Linked DNA regions of Anolis sagrei. The protein of the gene in region 1 purifies or fractionates together with the protein of each later gene. This does not show direct contact. Links are inferred from orthologs where the notes say so. Each region holds a gene or a part of one and is shown in the gene's direction. Other genes may lie near its edges.

What was found. The genes of interacting proteins can lie anywhere in the genome.
Region 2: the proteins of DCAF6 (region 1) and TNNC2 purify together in Homo sapiens (affinity purification with mass spectrometry; 3 studies listed by BioGRID and IntAct, with this or other methods). This does not show direct contact. The link is inferred for Anolis sagrei from reciprocal best matches to the Homo sapiens genes DCAF6 and TNNC2.

What each region holds. Positions count from the first base shown.
Region 1 is NC_090023.1:51,576,091-51,583,990, reverse strand, and holds the start of DCAF6 (DDB1- and CUL4-associated factor 6), read left to right. Parts: upstream 1-4,852; 5' UTR 4,853-4,972; intron 4,973-5,127; 5' UTR 5,128-5,164; coding exon 5,165-5,258; intron 5,259-6,625; coding exon of another isoform or gene 6,626-6,898; exon of another isoform or gene 6,899-6,929; intron 6,930-7,900. Other genes in the region: MPC2 (mitochondrial pyruvate carrier 2), read right to left, coding at 4,211-4,319; SELENOK (selenoprotein K), read right to left, coding at 6,626-6,898. UniProt on the Homo sapiens protein: Ligand-dependent coactivator of nuclear receptors. Enhance transcriptional activity of the nuclear receptors NR3C1 and AR. May function as a substrate receptor for CUL4-DDB1 E3 ubiquitin-protein ligase complex.
Region 2 is NC_090024.1:248,918,513-248,926,353, forward strand, and holds the start of TNNC2 (troponin C, skeletal muscle), read left to right. Parts: upstream 1-4,808; 5' UTR 4,809-4,926; coding exon 4,927-4,929; intron 4,930-6,016; coding exon 6,017-6,068; intron 6,069-7,841. UniProt on the Homo sapiens protein: Troponin is the central regulatory protein of striated muscle contraction. Tn consists of three components: Tn-I which is the inhibitor of actomyosin ATPase, Tn-T which contains the binding site for tropomyosin and Tn-C.

The sequences.
Region 1 (7,900 bases):
ACATAAAAATATACAATTATTGGGCAATCCAACAAAGAGAAGATCTAAAACCTTCCTCCACAGACTAGTTTACACTTGCCACCAAGCCTTAGAACACTATTTTGTAGAACTGACTTTTTCAGTTATATGAACAGGAAACCATTAATGCATGAAAGATTTGTATGGAAAAATGATAACTCGAGAGACAGAAATTTGAAGAAAGTTTGGCTTCTTCTCAATGCCACTCCTTAGCTGCCTGCCTAATCTTATTTCACAGTCTTCATAATAATATGCCTGAGTGCATATACATATTTCACAAATGTGTTTCACATATATGTCAATGATCCTCAGAAAGTTTGGTGAATTTAGGATTAAACTCATAGAAAACATGAGAGTCTCAAACAAATCGAACAGCTACTCTAAGGCTATCTATAGTTTGTAACTAGACTCAGAAGGGATATTCTCTGATCGAATGAAGCACTACACCACAATAAAGTCCCGAGACATCAGGCTTTTGGGTTTTAATTTATCATCTACACTGTTCCATGGAACTTCTCTCCAGCCCAAAAGAATAACATTGTGTTAACATTTGTGTAATAAACCTCTTAATAAAAGCAAGATTCTTCAAAACAACAGAAGACAACTACAGGTTATCATGGTCTGAAAGTCTGAATTCTTCTTTTAATATAGCCGAGGTCAAAAAGTTCAAAAGTCTGCATACTGTAGAGATATGAAAACTAGGAAAGCAAGTTTCAGATAAAAGAAGATAGATAACAAGCAGTTAGTTTGAGAATGGATTATAGTTAAATACTAAAGATTAGTTAGTGTTTTCCCTTTTCTGCAGTGAGTAAATCCAAAGGGATACTATAGTCAATATATGCAGTAAGAGCATGAAGAGATCCATGGTGGTATGATAGCACCTTTCCTTCTTTTATTCTCAGTAGCATGTATTCTGTTTAGTAACCAACAATAGCCTTACCTTCTATCAGTTTCTCATTATTTGCTTTTAAAGCTATCCAGGTTGTTGCCTATCACTGGATCTTGTAATAGTGAAATTGCCTTGTTTACTATATATTGTATAAAGAAGCAATTATTTTACCTGTCATGTATCTCATACAATTCAGCTTTATTCGATGACCCAGTTATTAGTGTTATGAGAAGCAAAAAAAAAGTCTCCTTATCCAGTTTAATACTTTCCCTACACTATGCATAATTTTAAACACATTTATCCTACTCCTCCCCATTCGCCTTTAAGATGAAAATATTTCACCGGTAGTTGACAGATATTAAGTATCAGAATGATTTCAGAACTGATGAGAGAAAAAACAAAAAAGCACTACAATGAAAGCATGCCCTGTAAAAAACAAAAACATGCACACACGCACACAATACAAATAGCAATTTTATTAGAGACTCCTAATGTCTTCATGATAGGAAGACAAAGAAACTGTTTATTTCATCCAGGTCTTATGATAGAACTACTACTTGGTAAAGTATGTAGGTAACTACCAACATTTGGTGGGCTCTGTGAAAAGGTCTGCAGTGTAGCTTTTCTGGACAGGCGACCTTCCAAATCAATAGTGCACCAAAGCAGCATCCTTTCACACACAAAACCCTAACCCTAAACAAAGCCCCAAAACACATTGACAGAAGAAGAGACACAAAGCTTAGTCTGCAGTGAAGGGTAGACATCTAACATTTTTAAGAGCAGTGTAGAAGGACACGGTTAGAAACATGCCACTTCTCTTTTTCTGCAGGGCTACTTACTGCTTGCAAAGCAATCCTTTTTCTAAATTACTCTCTCCTTTCCCTGAGACACAGAGATAAGAGATTATGTTTTTCCAAAAACCATCTGTGCCAATGGAGAGGCTGAACAGAACTCCAGCTTTTACACACCTTTGACAATTATAATAAAATTACAGGAAGAGAAAAAAGCACAAGAACAATATAACTTCAAGGTCATGTTAATCCAGCTCTCCTGTGTCTCAGTCCATGAAATAAATGACACTTTGAATCACATCCTACCCATTCCCTTCACAAATGTCCCATCTTATGTTCTTGAATTGTATGCATTATTTGTTGTGGAAAGTGTGCCTGTCAACTTATGGTGACTGGCCCACATGAATTTCATAGGATGTTATTAAGGCAAGAAATATTTAAAGGTGGGTTTGCCAGTTCCTTCCCCTAAAATAAAGCCTAGCCCATCCAAGCACTAACCAGGGTTGACCTTGCTTAGCCTCCAGACTGAAACAAAATTTGGTGCTTTGGAGTATTCTCTGTCTGTGGGGTACGTCTAAACCATAGAATGAATGCGGCTTGACACTATATTCACCGGTATGGCTCAAGGCTATAGGATTGAGGGAGTTATAGTTTTACAAGGTCTTTAGCCTTTTCTGCCCAAGAGTGCTGGTGCCTTACTAAAGTACAACCCCCAGGATCCCATAGCATAAAGCCATGACCGTCAAAGTGGTGTAAAACTGCATTAATTCTACAGTATAGATACAGTATATAGGGTTGTATAGTGTTTTAAAATTTATTTAAATATGTGTTTATATTGTTGTGCTATTATGAGATCACTTTCTGTGTATATCATTTATTGTCTCAATTTGCTTGATTGTAAGCCACCCTGAGTCCCTCTGGGGAGATGGTGCGGGGTATAAATAAAGTTTATTATTATTATTATTATTATTATTTATTATTATTATTATCCAATATTTACATCCCATTATTTTGCCTGGTGGTGTGTGTATATACATGTGTATAGGTTTCCCTTGACATTAAGTCTAGTCGTGTTCAACTCTGGGGGGTGGTATTCATCTCCATTCCTAAGCCAAAGAGCTGGCGTTATCCATAAAGGCTCCCAAGGTCATGTGGCCAGCATTATTTATTTATGACATTTCTATGCCGTCCTTCTCACCCCGAAGGGGACTCAGAGCGGCTTACAAAATATATATACATACAATATATTATATTATTAGCATAGTACAATATCAGTATTATATAATACTATATTGCACTATATCATTATATTGCAATATTATTAGTAGTATTTTATTGTATTACATTATAATATTATAAGTGATCACAACAATATGCATTTATTTATTTATTTATTTATTTATGGCATTTGTATGCTGCCCTTCTCACCCCGAAGGGGACTCAGAGCGGCTTACAAGATATATATACATGCATGACCTTCCCACTGAAGTGGTACCTATTGATCTACTCACATTCGCATGTTTTTGAACTGCTAGGTTGGCAGAAGGTGGGGCTAATAGTGGGAGCTCACCCCGCTCCCGGATTTGAACTACGAACCTTTCAGACAACAAGTTCAGCAGCTCAGTGGTTTAACCCGCTGCATCACCGGGGGGGGGGCATACATGTATGTACACACACACACAATTTATATATTTATTTTTATTTACATATCCTGTCTTTCTCCTGGTATGGGGTCAGATGGATGGATCCTCTCCCTCCCTTTCTTCCATAAACTGTAAATCTACGATCTATTAGCATTCTGAATTAATCTTTGCACTACGTATTTTAATAAAAAGCCTTTTTAAGGTGTTGTGTTTTATCCGGGTGTTGTATAACCATTCTGGAACAGTAAGAAGAGGTGGGGAAGAAATAAATAATTATTGACCATCAATATCAGGCTTAAGCGGCTGAGGGGGAAAAGGAAGGGGCCTGAAGCTATTAGGAATGGTGGGAGTTGAAGTCCAAAACACTTGGAGGGCCCAAGCTTGCCCATGCCTGATCAATCTCATGCTTACAAAACATCCCAGGAAGAAGATGCCTGGCCCAAGGTCACACAGAGGAGTGGGGATTGGAAATCCTCCTCCCACACGAGGATCAGGTGAGTAGATCCCCTCACAACCTCACATCGACTCCCTTGCACTATAAACATGGTGTGAGGGAAGGGGTGGCCAAATACAAAGGTCCCAGGACCTTATTGTATAAAAGGAGGGCCCTCTGCCTTCACGTGTGGATACCACCAGAGGCACTCCAAGTGGCCAGATGCTGGTCAAAGGACATTTAATCAACTACCAAACTCACAAATTGTGTATTCTGTCTGTCTGTTTGCTTTGTTCTGTTAGAAATGTAATATAATATGACTGGTCGTCCTGACACGACAAATAAATACCGCCAGAGGCCTCCAGTCTTCACGCGTTTCCGCGCTCACACGATACACTGACCCGGGTCACCTCCAATGAGCCTCGCCTTTCCCTACCTGCTGGGTGATTGTACAGAGGGCGCAGCCGGGGAGGCAGCATGAGCTCAATCCGGTCCAAGAACCGGTGGTAGGAGGCGCGGAGCCCCGCGGTGGCGGCGCCCGCCATCCTGTGTTACTCCGGCGGCGAAGACCCCTGCCACTCGTCCGCGTCCTCCTCGCTCTCCTAACCGAGTGAGCCAAGAGCCAGGTGGTGGGACGATCCCGCTTTCCTTCTCCGTGATTGGCTCGCCGGATAGGACGTGGGCGGGGCTTGGACAGCCGATCCTTATGCTATTGGTTAATGTTCCTTACAAGCTTCTCACCCGGCGTCGATGACAACATCACGGTCCTCTTTTGATGACGACAGAAGGGAGCGGGACGACAGTTGATGACGACACCGGCTATTCTTTTGGAAATAATCAACATGTTTCTCTACGCTTCTTGGCGGCGAAGGACACACACCAAAGCGTTTTTTGAGCAGACATGAGGGAAGTTTTTAAAAACAAAAAAGAAGCTGCTCTTTGAAAGGCGGTTGTTTGTTTTCCCAAAGGAGGTCATGACAGGAAGGGACGACCGCTGCCACCTGACGCCATTTTCTCCCAACTGTCAGAAAGGACGCGGAGGGAAGTCTCGCGATGCTTTGGAAAGGACGTCGCGGGAATTCCTAGAGGAGAAAGGGGGCGGAGCCTACCGCCGCGGTGGCTCCTTGCTTGTTTTGCAGGAGAGGACGAGAGAAGAAGGGAATCGCTTGCGGCCCGGCGGCTCGTGGCGGAGGAGGAGGTGGTGCGCGCGCGCGCCCTCCCTTTCCCTCCCTACTAGGCGCGCGCCCGCGGGTTTCCATGGTGAAGGTGGCGGAGCGCGTGCGGGCGGCCTGCGGAATGGGCCGCGGCTGATGCCTCCTTCTCCTGCTCGTTCTTCTTCTTCGGCGGCGAAAGCGACCCTCGTCCTCCTCCTCGTCGTCCTCCTGGTGCCATGTCCCGGGGGTGCTGCCCCCACCTGCTGTGGGATGTGAGGCAGCGGAGTTTGGGCCTGGAGGAGCCCGGCCTGCTGAGGAGACGGTACCTAGGTGAGGGAAGGGCAAGGCCTGGCGCCTGAGTAGAGGGGGAGGCCGGAGAAAATGGTGGAGCGGCCCGCGGTGTGTGTAGACCAGGCATAGGCCAACTTCGGCCGTCCAGGTGTTTTGGACTTCAACTCCCACAATTCCTAACAGCCGGTAGGCTGTTAGGAATTGTGGGAGTTGAAGTCCAAAACACCTGGACGGCCGAAGTTGGCCTAAGCTTGGTGTAGGGAGAGAGTGCGACTTGAATGCCCTTTAAATATCTTCACTCTTATACAGCCTCTTTGGAAGCCAAGTGCAGGCAGCCCCTAAGCTACAAACAAGATGGGTTTGTTCTTAAGTTGAATTTGTTTGTAAGCTGGGACAGGTACAGTAGAGTAAAATGATAACACTATAATAAGTAGTGTAAAATAATAAATGTAATAATAACAATAATATATTATAACTTTATTTGTACCCCGCTAGCATCTCCCGAAGGCCTCAAAACACAATACAACAATACAATACCTAACGCAAATTAAAAACAGTTAAGCAATATGAACAACAACAATAAAACAATACATCAAGACACTATAAAACTGGGTAAAATAATAGAGTAAAATAAATATAATATAACAATAATAAATAGAGTAAAATAATCATAGAATCAAAGAGTTGGAAGAGACCTCATGGGCCATCCAGTCCAACCCCATTCTGCCAAGAAGCAGGAATATTGCATTCAAATCACCCCTGACAGATGGCCATCCAGGACTTCGGTTTAAAAGCCTCCAAAGAAGGAGCCTCCACCACACTCCGGGGCAGAGAGTTCCACTGCTGAACGGCTCTCACAGTCAGGAAGTTCTTCCTCATGTTCAGATGGAATCTCCTCTCTTGTAGTTTGAAGCCATTGTTCCGCGTCCTAGTCTCCAAGGAAGCAGAAAACAAGCTTGCTCCCTCCTCCCTGTGGCTTCTTCTCACATATTTATACATGGCTATCATATCTCCTCTCAGCCTTCTCTTCTTCAGGCTAAACATGCCCAGCTCCTTAAGCCGCTCTTCATAGGGCTTGTTCTCCAGACCCTTGATCTTTTCAGTCGCCCTCCTCTGGTTAGGAGTAATAGTAGTAATAATAATCACAAGCTACACAAAAAGGCGTAAAATAGACAGTACAGAAATGCATTTAATTTAACAGAACTGTTTTTCAGTTGACCTGGATCCCAGAACAAGGAATTTCCAGGACAACATCATGGTTCTGCCAATTGGCAGAGCAGGGAATCTTTCAGACAACACAATCGCAACCCACAGGCCCCCATCAGCTCATCCCTCAGCAGGTCATTCCCATCTTGCAAATGTTTATGTCTGGCTGCCTCCTTTTATGAAGGAGGCATTTACCTTCCTCATCCACCTCCAGCCATTGGTGGGGGGCTTAGACCACCGAAATGACTTATTCGGCCCATTCTATGACGAGGTAATCCTGGGGGTCCTCTTCCATCATCGTATCTTGAAGTGGAAGAAGATGTACACCCTCTCGTCAGGTCTGGATGAATAATGCTCTGGAAAAACATAACGACAAAGCCTGCTATTTCCCAAAAGAAGTCAGTTATAGATGAGAAGCTCCATGGAGCTTGGCTCTGGTTATCCAACACTTGTCCGTTCGAAATGTAAACCATGGCTGTGCTGCGCCACTTCCTCGCAACACCTCTGCCCCACAATCCCAGATCCGACTCCCTACGAGGTGTTCCCTTTTGCCCCGCCCCTTCACGAGGAAAGCCCAACAATAATAATAATACACTTTATTTATATCCCCGCCACCATCTCCCCAGAGGGGGGACTTACATGAGGCCAAACCTGGTGATACATTACAGCAAAATAAATACAGAGTGGCAAAAAATAACATCACAATGAAATAAGTAAAACATACAAGTAAAATAAAACAGTGCAAAATAAGAAAGTGAAAATCAAACACAGTGGGCGGGCCAAATGTACGACATAAAATGACAAAACTTTGGATTAGATAACAATTAAAAAGGTATATTTGTAAGGGAGGAGCTCATAGGGGACGGAACAATGGAGTCAGGCCTTCAGTAAGGTGGGGGTAATAATATCAATATCAAGTAGTGAAAAATAATAAATGTAATAATAATAAGAGTAAAATAATAAATGTAATAAAAATAATAATAACAGAGTAAAATAACCAATAATCTTGATTCAAGTATAAGCCAATTGCAGGCTTTTTCAGCCTAAAAAAGGCCTGAAAAACTCATACTCAAGTATATATGGTATACACACACATATACACACAAACACATGCACACACACACACATAACTCTTCATTTATACCCAGCTTTTCTTCCTAAATGGGACCCAAAGCGGCTCACAACATATATATATATATATATTTAAAAAATACAGATCCAGCATACATATAACAAGAGGCCCCTGGTGGCACAGCGGTTAAACCACTGAGCTGCTGAGCTTGCTGACCGAAAGGTTGACTCCCGCTGTTAGGCCCAGCTTCTACCAACCTTGCAGTTCAAAAACATGCAAATGTGAGTAGATCAATAGGTATCACTTCGGTGGGAAGGTAACTGCACTGCATGCAGTTATGCCAGCCACATGACCTAGGAGTCATCTACTGACTAAGTCGACTCTTCGGCTTAGAAATGGAAAT
Region 2 (7,841 bases), on another chromosome or scaffold:
CCCACTTCCCTTTGCCCCAGAAAAATGAAACATCCTCTTGTTTGCTTTGTCTGGCAGGCAGGGAAGTTTTCTTTGGACATTTTGATTGAATCACAAAGGGACAAGGCTGACCCCCTGGGGTCCCTGTTTGTTCCCTTCTCAAAATCCATCAGAAGACACACCTTATCAGGTCTAAGGCAGGAAAACCTTTCATAATGAAATCAACCTTTGCTGGCCAAAACAATGCCTAACCAATCAGAGAGAAGCCGAGTGGAGAGGGGCGGGCGGAAAAATTTGAAATGTTTTCCTGTATTTTGCCTATAAATATGCCTGTATCCCTGTGCTCCTGCATGCTTGTGGTGGAATGATTCCTGCAATGCATCCGATCTCAGCTGAATCGCTAATAAACACCTCGATGCCCCTTCTTCGCTTTGGCAAGGGGCTCATTTCAATTATTAATCTATATATATAAATTTCCTACTGGCGTCCAACGGGGAAGCAAAACTCTAAAACCTCTCCACAAAACTCTACCAAAATTGCCATGCCCCAAGGACAACCCACTAGGTACAAACTAATCCACTCTGAAATCAAAACCACACAACAACAACCACAAAAAACGGGAAAGCAACTGAGCATGCGCACTGGCGCAAACTCCCCGACGTGCGCGCACATATGGCCCCTCACTCTCCCCCCCTCGGCGCGGCACACACACATACACCCGCACGCGCGCGCCCCCTCACCCCCCCGGCGCGGCACACACACACACATGCGCGCGCACCCCCTCACCCCCCCGGCGCGGCACACACACACACACGCATGCGCCCTCACCCCCCCCCGCACGGCACATACACACACACGCGCGCCCCCCTCATCCCCCCCGCGTGGCACACACACACACGCGCCCCCCTCACCCCCCCCCCCCCGCGCGGCACACACACACGCCCCCCTCACCCCCCCCCCCGCGCGGCACACACACACACACGCCCCCCTCACCCCCCCCCCCACGCGGCACACACACACACGCGCCCCCCTCACTCCCCCCCCCGCACGGCACACACACACACACGCCCCCCTCACCCCCCCGGCGCGGCACACACACACGCCCCCCTCACCCCCCCCCCCGCACGGCACATACACACACACACACACGCGCCCCCCTCACCCCCCCGGCGCGGCACACACACACGCGCGCGCGCGCCCTCATCCCCCCCCCCCGCGCGGCACCCTTTCTAAACCCATCCCCCCTCCCTTCCTCCCTCTTACCCCTCACGTTACCTCCAAGCCACGCCCCCTTCTAATCTGTCAAGGAAGAAGGGAGAGAAAGAGGGAGGGAAAGAAAGAAGGAAGGAATGAGGTAGAAAAGGAAGAAAGGAGAGAAAGAGGAAGGGAAAGAAAAAGGGGGGGGAGGAAGGAAAGTTAGAGAAGGAAGAAGAGAAGGAAAGAAAAAAGGGAAAGAAGGAAGGAAAGAAGGAGCGAAGGAAGGGGGGAAGATGTAGAGAAAGAGGGAGGGAAAGAAAGGAAGAAAGAGAGAAGGAAGAAAAGAGAGATTGCAGAAGAGAACAAGGAAGAAGGAAGGAAAGAGGGAGCGAAGGGAGGGGGGAAGATGTAGAGAAAGAGGGAGGGAAAGAAAGGAAGAAAGAGAGAAGGAAGAAAAAAGAGACAGCAGAAGAGAAAGAAAAAGGGGGAAGGAAGGAAAGCGATAGAGAAGGAAGGAAGGAGAGAAGGAAAGACGGGAAGGAAGGAAGGAAGGAAACAGGGAGTGAAGGAAGGAGGGAAAGAAGGGGAGATAGGGGGAAGGTTGGCCACAGCAATGTGTGGCGGGTACAGCTAGTATTAAATAAAATTGCTGGAATCGGGCTTCTCTGAAGGCTTGCCAAGGTAGCGTTCCCTCTTTGGTGGGAACTAAGGGTCATCTCCCCTTGGAGTTGACCTCCCACCCTAAAGTCTAGTTTGGCTTCACCAGTGCTGGGCCAGGCCAGGCCAGGTGGGTCCCACCCAACGCAGTGTAGCAGCCTGTGTCATCCCTGCCTTGTGCCCGTCTGCATTGGGAGATGAGTCAGAAGCCAAGCCACTTTTGAGACCCCGGTTCAGAAATGCCTTCTGCTCCAAACTTGAAACGGGCAGGAAGGGAGAAGCAACTGGAGGAACGCAAGCCATGATGCCACAAAGCTGACAAGGAGAGAGAGAGAGAGCCAAACACCTCCACCCATTTCCAGGAACTGCCAGGGGTCATTTCCCCCAAAATCTTCAAGAACAGGCCAACGTCTCCTCAAGTTCCATCATTTGATCCCCACTCCAAAGGCATCAGATCCCGTCTGATCCTGGATGAAAAGCAGGTTCTGCCTGGGTGGGTCTCCTGGGGGTGACCTTTCAGAGGAAGGAAATCACCTCCTTGGATGAAATGCGTGGGGCTGGCACCAACACACACGTGGCCTTGACACCCCAAAACACTGAGTCCTGTCTGGTTTGGGGAGTTAAGCAGTGTCAGCCCTGGTTTGTAATTGGGTGGGAGACCGCCAGGGAATCCCAGGTTCTGTAGACTGCGAGTTGAAGGAAGGGACTGGCCAAGCCACCTCTGGGTCTCCCTCGTCAAGGAAATCCCATTGAAATGCTTGGGGTGCCTATCAGTCAGGAGGGGACTTGAAGGCCCAGACCCACACGATGCCGGACCTTGGTCTCTTTCCTCCAATTTGGATGGCCAGCTCCTGGAGGATGCTGGGAGTGACAATCCCGGAAGCAGCTTCCCCAAGGCCAGGAGGCCTGTCTGTGAATCCCAGGTGCCGTATTTACTTGAGTCTAACACACCATCGACTCTAATGCGCACCTCAATTTCCAAAACCCTGAAACCAAAATAGAGTATTTGCTGACCAACATAATGTTTAGCGGCGAAAGATGCACTCTTTGTAGTTTGGCCCCAAAAGGTGCGCATGAGAGTGGCTGCCTGATTAGGGTTCCTTCGTTAAAAACAGAACGGGAGGGAGCGCCAGACCGTCCAGCAACGGAACTGTCTTGGTTCAATGCCATGGAGTCATCTAATTTGACACGGTTTTGAGCCTTCTTGGCCAAAGAATGCTGATGCCTCACCAAAGTCCACATTCCCAGGTGACGTGGCCATTCAAGTAGAGGCGAGGCCAATCAAAGAGGAGCTCCAGGGGGTCCTGAAGCCATTCTAATATGTCACCACCCTAATTTTGGCAATGCCATTGAGCCAGAAAACAGAAAGCATTAGATTCGAGTAAATAAAACATTGGCGGCAAAAAAAGCCAATGGGATTTTGGCCTGCATCAAGAGGAGCCTAGTGTCTAGATCTAAGGAAGTGATGCTCCCCATGCTCTATTCCGCCTTGGTTAGACCACACCTGGAATATTGTGTCCAATTCTGGGCACCACAATTCAAGAGAGATATTGACTCTAAGCTGGAATGTGTCCAGAGGAGGGCGACTAAAATGATCAAGGGTCTGGAGAACAAGCCCTATGAGGAGCGGCTTAGGGAACTGGGCATGTTTAGCCTGAAGAAGAGAAGGCTGAGAGATGATAGCCATGTATAAATATGTGAGAGGAAGCCACAGCGAGGAGGAGGGAGCAAGCTTCCTTTCTGCTTCCCTGGAGACTAGGATGCAAGGGAACAATGGCTTCAAACTACAAGAGAGGAGATTCCATCTGAACATGAGGAAGAACTTCCTGACTGTGAGAGCCGTTCAGCAGTGGAACTCTCTGCCCCGGAGGGAGTGTGGTGGAGGCTCCTTCTTTGGAAGCTTTTAAGCAGAGGCTGGATGGCCATCTGTCAGGGGTGATTTGGATGCAATATTCCTGCTTCTTGGCAAAATGGGGTTGGACTGGATGATGGCCCAGGAGGTCTCTTCCAACTCTTTGATTCTAGGATTCTATGAAATAGAGGATTTCTCAGACAGGAAAGGGCACCGCGTCCTCTGAAGGTTCCTTGCCCAAGAAAAGCCCCCCTCTAGATCACTCTACGTCCGCAGGCGACTTGGAGGCCCAGAACAAGAATGCCTCTGGCCTTCCTGACCCATTGCTGAGCCCCTCCCATTTCCATCCCACAGGCCCCCTTGCCTCCGCAAATCCGGGCCCTTCCAAAATGGGGCAATGTGTGCCTTGTGGGTGTTAGTGGGGCGCCCATCCCAAGACCTTCTTCCACCTTTCCATGCAGGCTGAAAGGGGGGGTCCTTCCATGGGGGGAGTGTAAAGGCCGGCCTATGTGTATATTGGGATGTTGGGGGGCGGGGAAGGAGACCGGGCGTCTTCTCTCCCCGCATTCTGGGCATGGAGGAAACCGGATCCCGGTGTCAACAAATGAGGCCGGAATATTCGGGATGCAAGGAGGCAGCTGGGGAGGGGGCTCGGCATGGCATGCGAGGGGGGTGGGTGCTCGGCATGCCTTCCCCCCGGGGGCCCTCCCCACGGCAGAGACCTCAGTGCAGGGGCCAAGGGAGCAGACCCCCTCTTCCCCCTCCCCCCAAGGAGGGAGACCACCCAACCCTGCGGCCTCCTTCTCCATATGGGGAGGGTCTATTTTTACCCCTCCGAGGATGGGGCTGCCGTCAGTCCCTTGCCATTCACTCAAGTCAGGCCAAGGGTAGGATTTCGCTCTCCCTGAGGGTCCCACACACACACGCACTCACACACACATATCTGCACAAGACACAGCCAGGAGTGGCTTGGCTAAATTTGGTAAAATGCCTGGCCGGCCAATGAGCAGCCGAGGAGGAAGGCCATTGGCTGACCAAAGAGCCACCTCCCTTGGTGCCCAATGAGGGCAGTGTGGGCGGAGCCGTGCCCAGTTGTCCAGGTATAAAAGGCCGTGCCAGAGCCTCGGACGGAGCGGTTTGCCATCTGACCCGGAGAAGCAGGTGTGGGACCCGTCGTCGTCGTCACCAGTGGCCCTTCTCTCTCTCGCTCTCTCTCAGTGGGGTGCCCTTAGCCTGCCAACATGGTAAGACCACGGGTTAGGGTTAAGGTTGGGGTTTGCATGGTCAAGGAAGTGGTTTGCATGGTCAAGGAAGGGCGGTTGGGGCTGGACATGAGGGCAGAAGATGGCAAGGGACAGGGCAAAGGTTACGGTGAAGCTGAAGGACTCTCTGGTTGAAGCTGTTGGTGGTGGGGTCATTGCAAGGAGTGGAGTGGGGCATTTGGGTCTGGGGGAGGCCGATGGGGCCAAGGAGGGTCTCAGAGTCATCGAAAGGAGCAGAGCCAAGAGTCCCCTTGGCTGGGTCAGATCCTCTCCTTCAGGGTGGACAGCTCCGAACTCTACAGCCGTGTGGGCTGGACGGGTCTGGCTTGGGAGTCCAGCCAAGGACGCAGCAGCAGGGAAAGCGAGCTGCCGGTCACAAGGAGGCTTCATGCTTGCCCACCCACCCACCCGCCCGCCCACCAGAGACGAAGCCCCAAGGAGTAACCCGATCCGAGGCCGACAGGTGTTGCGTGGAGCAGCTGGTGTCCAGCCCTGGCTCCCTACAAGGCCCGAGCCCGGGGGCCACGGCTAAGAATAGCCCGGGATCAAGGAGGAGCGCCCTCCCCCCCATCGCCACAGGCGCCTGAAGATCCAAGTGGACAATGGCATCTGGCCGGAGAGGACGAGGAGGAGGAGGAGGAAGAGGAGCAAGGCCAGGATGGAGCAAAGCAGCCATGAAGCCTCCAGAAAGGCCACCCAATGGAAGCCAAGTTATCCTGGACTTGCCCAAGGGACCGGACAGACCCCACTTTGCAAAGGCTGCCCTGGAATGGGATGCTTTGGGGCATTTTTGAGCCAATGATGTCCACCTTGGCCACATGACTGGCCGGTCACCCTGGTCCACAAGGGCCTGGAGCATCTCTGCAGGGAGATGCCTGGAGGCAGCAGCCTAGTTCTGTGCGGGGAATTCAAGTCCATCTTTCTGGCCAAAGCCAGTGAAGCCCTATAAGAGCCAAGGGATCTTTGGTGGTCCACAGAGAGGGGCCCAATGGGGACAGGGAGGGAGTCTGGCCGTCTGTCGGGAGGGGTCAGGTGTTGCCCTTTCCTGGACTTTGTGCTTGCCTTGCAGACGGACCAGCAGGCGGAGGCCCGGTCCTACCTCAGCGAGGAGATGATTGCTGGTGAGTCAAAAGGTTGGAGATGGGGTGGTGTCTCTGGGGGCAAGGAAGCCTGGCTTGGCCCTGGGTCAGGGGAGAAAGCCCACTCATTGGAGGGCCAGCAGTGACCTGGGTGGGTCAAGCGCTTGACCATTGCCGTGGCCAGAGCAGCTCCCTCACAGGACTCACTCCGCAGCCTGGCTGCCTGCCTTTCTCCCTTGCGGAGCCACAGAGAAAGCAGCTGGACATCCATCCATGAAGCTGACCAATGACAAACAGTCCCAGGGGTGGACAGAGGGTGACACGACACCAGGCCCTGAGAGCATCCCCAGTGCAGAGGGAAAGGTGCCGCAATCCCTTACAAAGAGGCAGCGGAAATCCAACTGGTGTGAGGGCAAAGGCCTTGACGGAGGGAGCAAGGGGTCAGAGGGTCAAGTGCTTGACCCTTGCTAGGGCCCCTTCTGCCTAGCCCTGACCTTCTTGCCCCCAATCCCCAGGAAGGCTTTGGAAGGGAAGGAGCAGGTGGAAGGGGCACCCAAAGGCCACCTAGCCCAGGTGCCTTGAGAAGGGCATTCCTTTCCTGGCAGAAGGGGGTCAGACTAGGTGGCTCCTGGGAGCCCTTCTTGCAAGATAATTCACCATGGCATCCAATGACAAACAGCCCCAGGAATGGAAAGAGGGGGGGGGGAAGAGAGTGACCAGACATCAGGCCCTGAGAGCATCCCCAGTGCAAAGGGGGTCGGAGGGTCAAGTGCTTGACCCTTGCTAGGGCCCCTTCTGCCTAGCCCTGACCTTCTTGCCCTCAATCCCTGGGGAGGCTTTGGAAGGGAAGGAGCAGGTGGAAGGGGCACCCAAAGGCCACCTAGCCCACCTCCCTTCTCAGAGGTGCCTTGAGCAGTGCGTTCCCTTCCTGGCAGAAGGGGGTCAGACTAGATGGCCCCTGGGAGCCCCTTCCAGCAAGACAATTCTGCCGAGAGCCACAGCTCCACCTTGCCATTCCCGTCCATGCCATTTCCCTTCATTATTATGGGTTGTTTTTACTGCCTGCGTTTCCAAGGGGCCTCAGGGAACTCACAGTTGGGGGGGGGGGGATGCCAAAGATAGAAACAGTTAAAGGCAGGTATGGGCCATCTTCGGGCCTCTCTCCATGGGTGTTAAGCAGCTGAGATGGAAAGGAAGGGGCCTGAGGCTGTGGGGAATGATGGGAGTTGGAGTCCAACACCCATGGAGGGAGGGAGGGCCCAAATTGGAGGAGACGCTCAACTTCTCTTGAAGTTGCCCAAAGGCCAGGCGGAAAGACACTATCAGATCCCTCCTGACAGATAGGCATGCATCCATCCATCCTCTGCTTAAAAACCTGTAGCAAAGGGGAGAGAATCCTGGGGTCCTAGAGAAGGAAGGGACCCCAAAGGCCATGCAGTCCCACCCCCTTCAGCCAGGCAGGAAGATGATTCAACCCCTCCCAACAGATTATGACCCAGTAATAACACTTTATTTACATTCTGTGATGAAATGAAAAGGATGTGTAGTTCTAGAAACTATGCCATGCAGACGAACAGTACATAACAAGTGGTTTACTCTTCGTAACTCAGAACAACATATGTACAATCCTGTGGTCAGTTGCATTAATTCACATAATGTCCTGTTATGAGAGATTTAGAAAGGTTTTTCTTTTGTCCACGTAGAGAAACTCCTTCAGCAGCTCGTGAAGCAAAAGCACACTCCAAACTCCGTCTCCCTCTGCTTCTCTACAAGCACCGGCATAGCTCAAGCCTGAAAAATGTAACAGTATTCAAA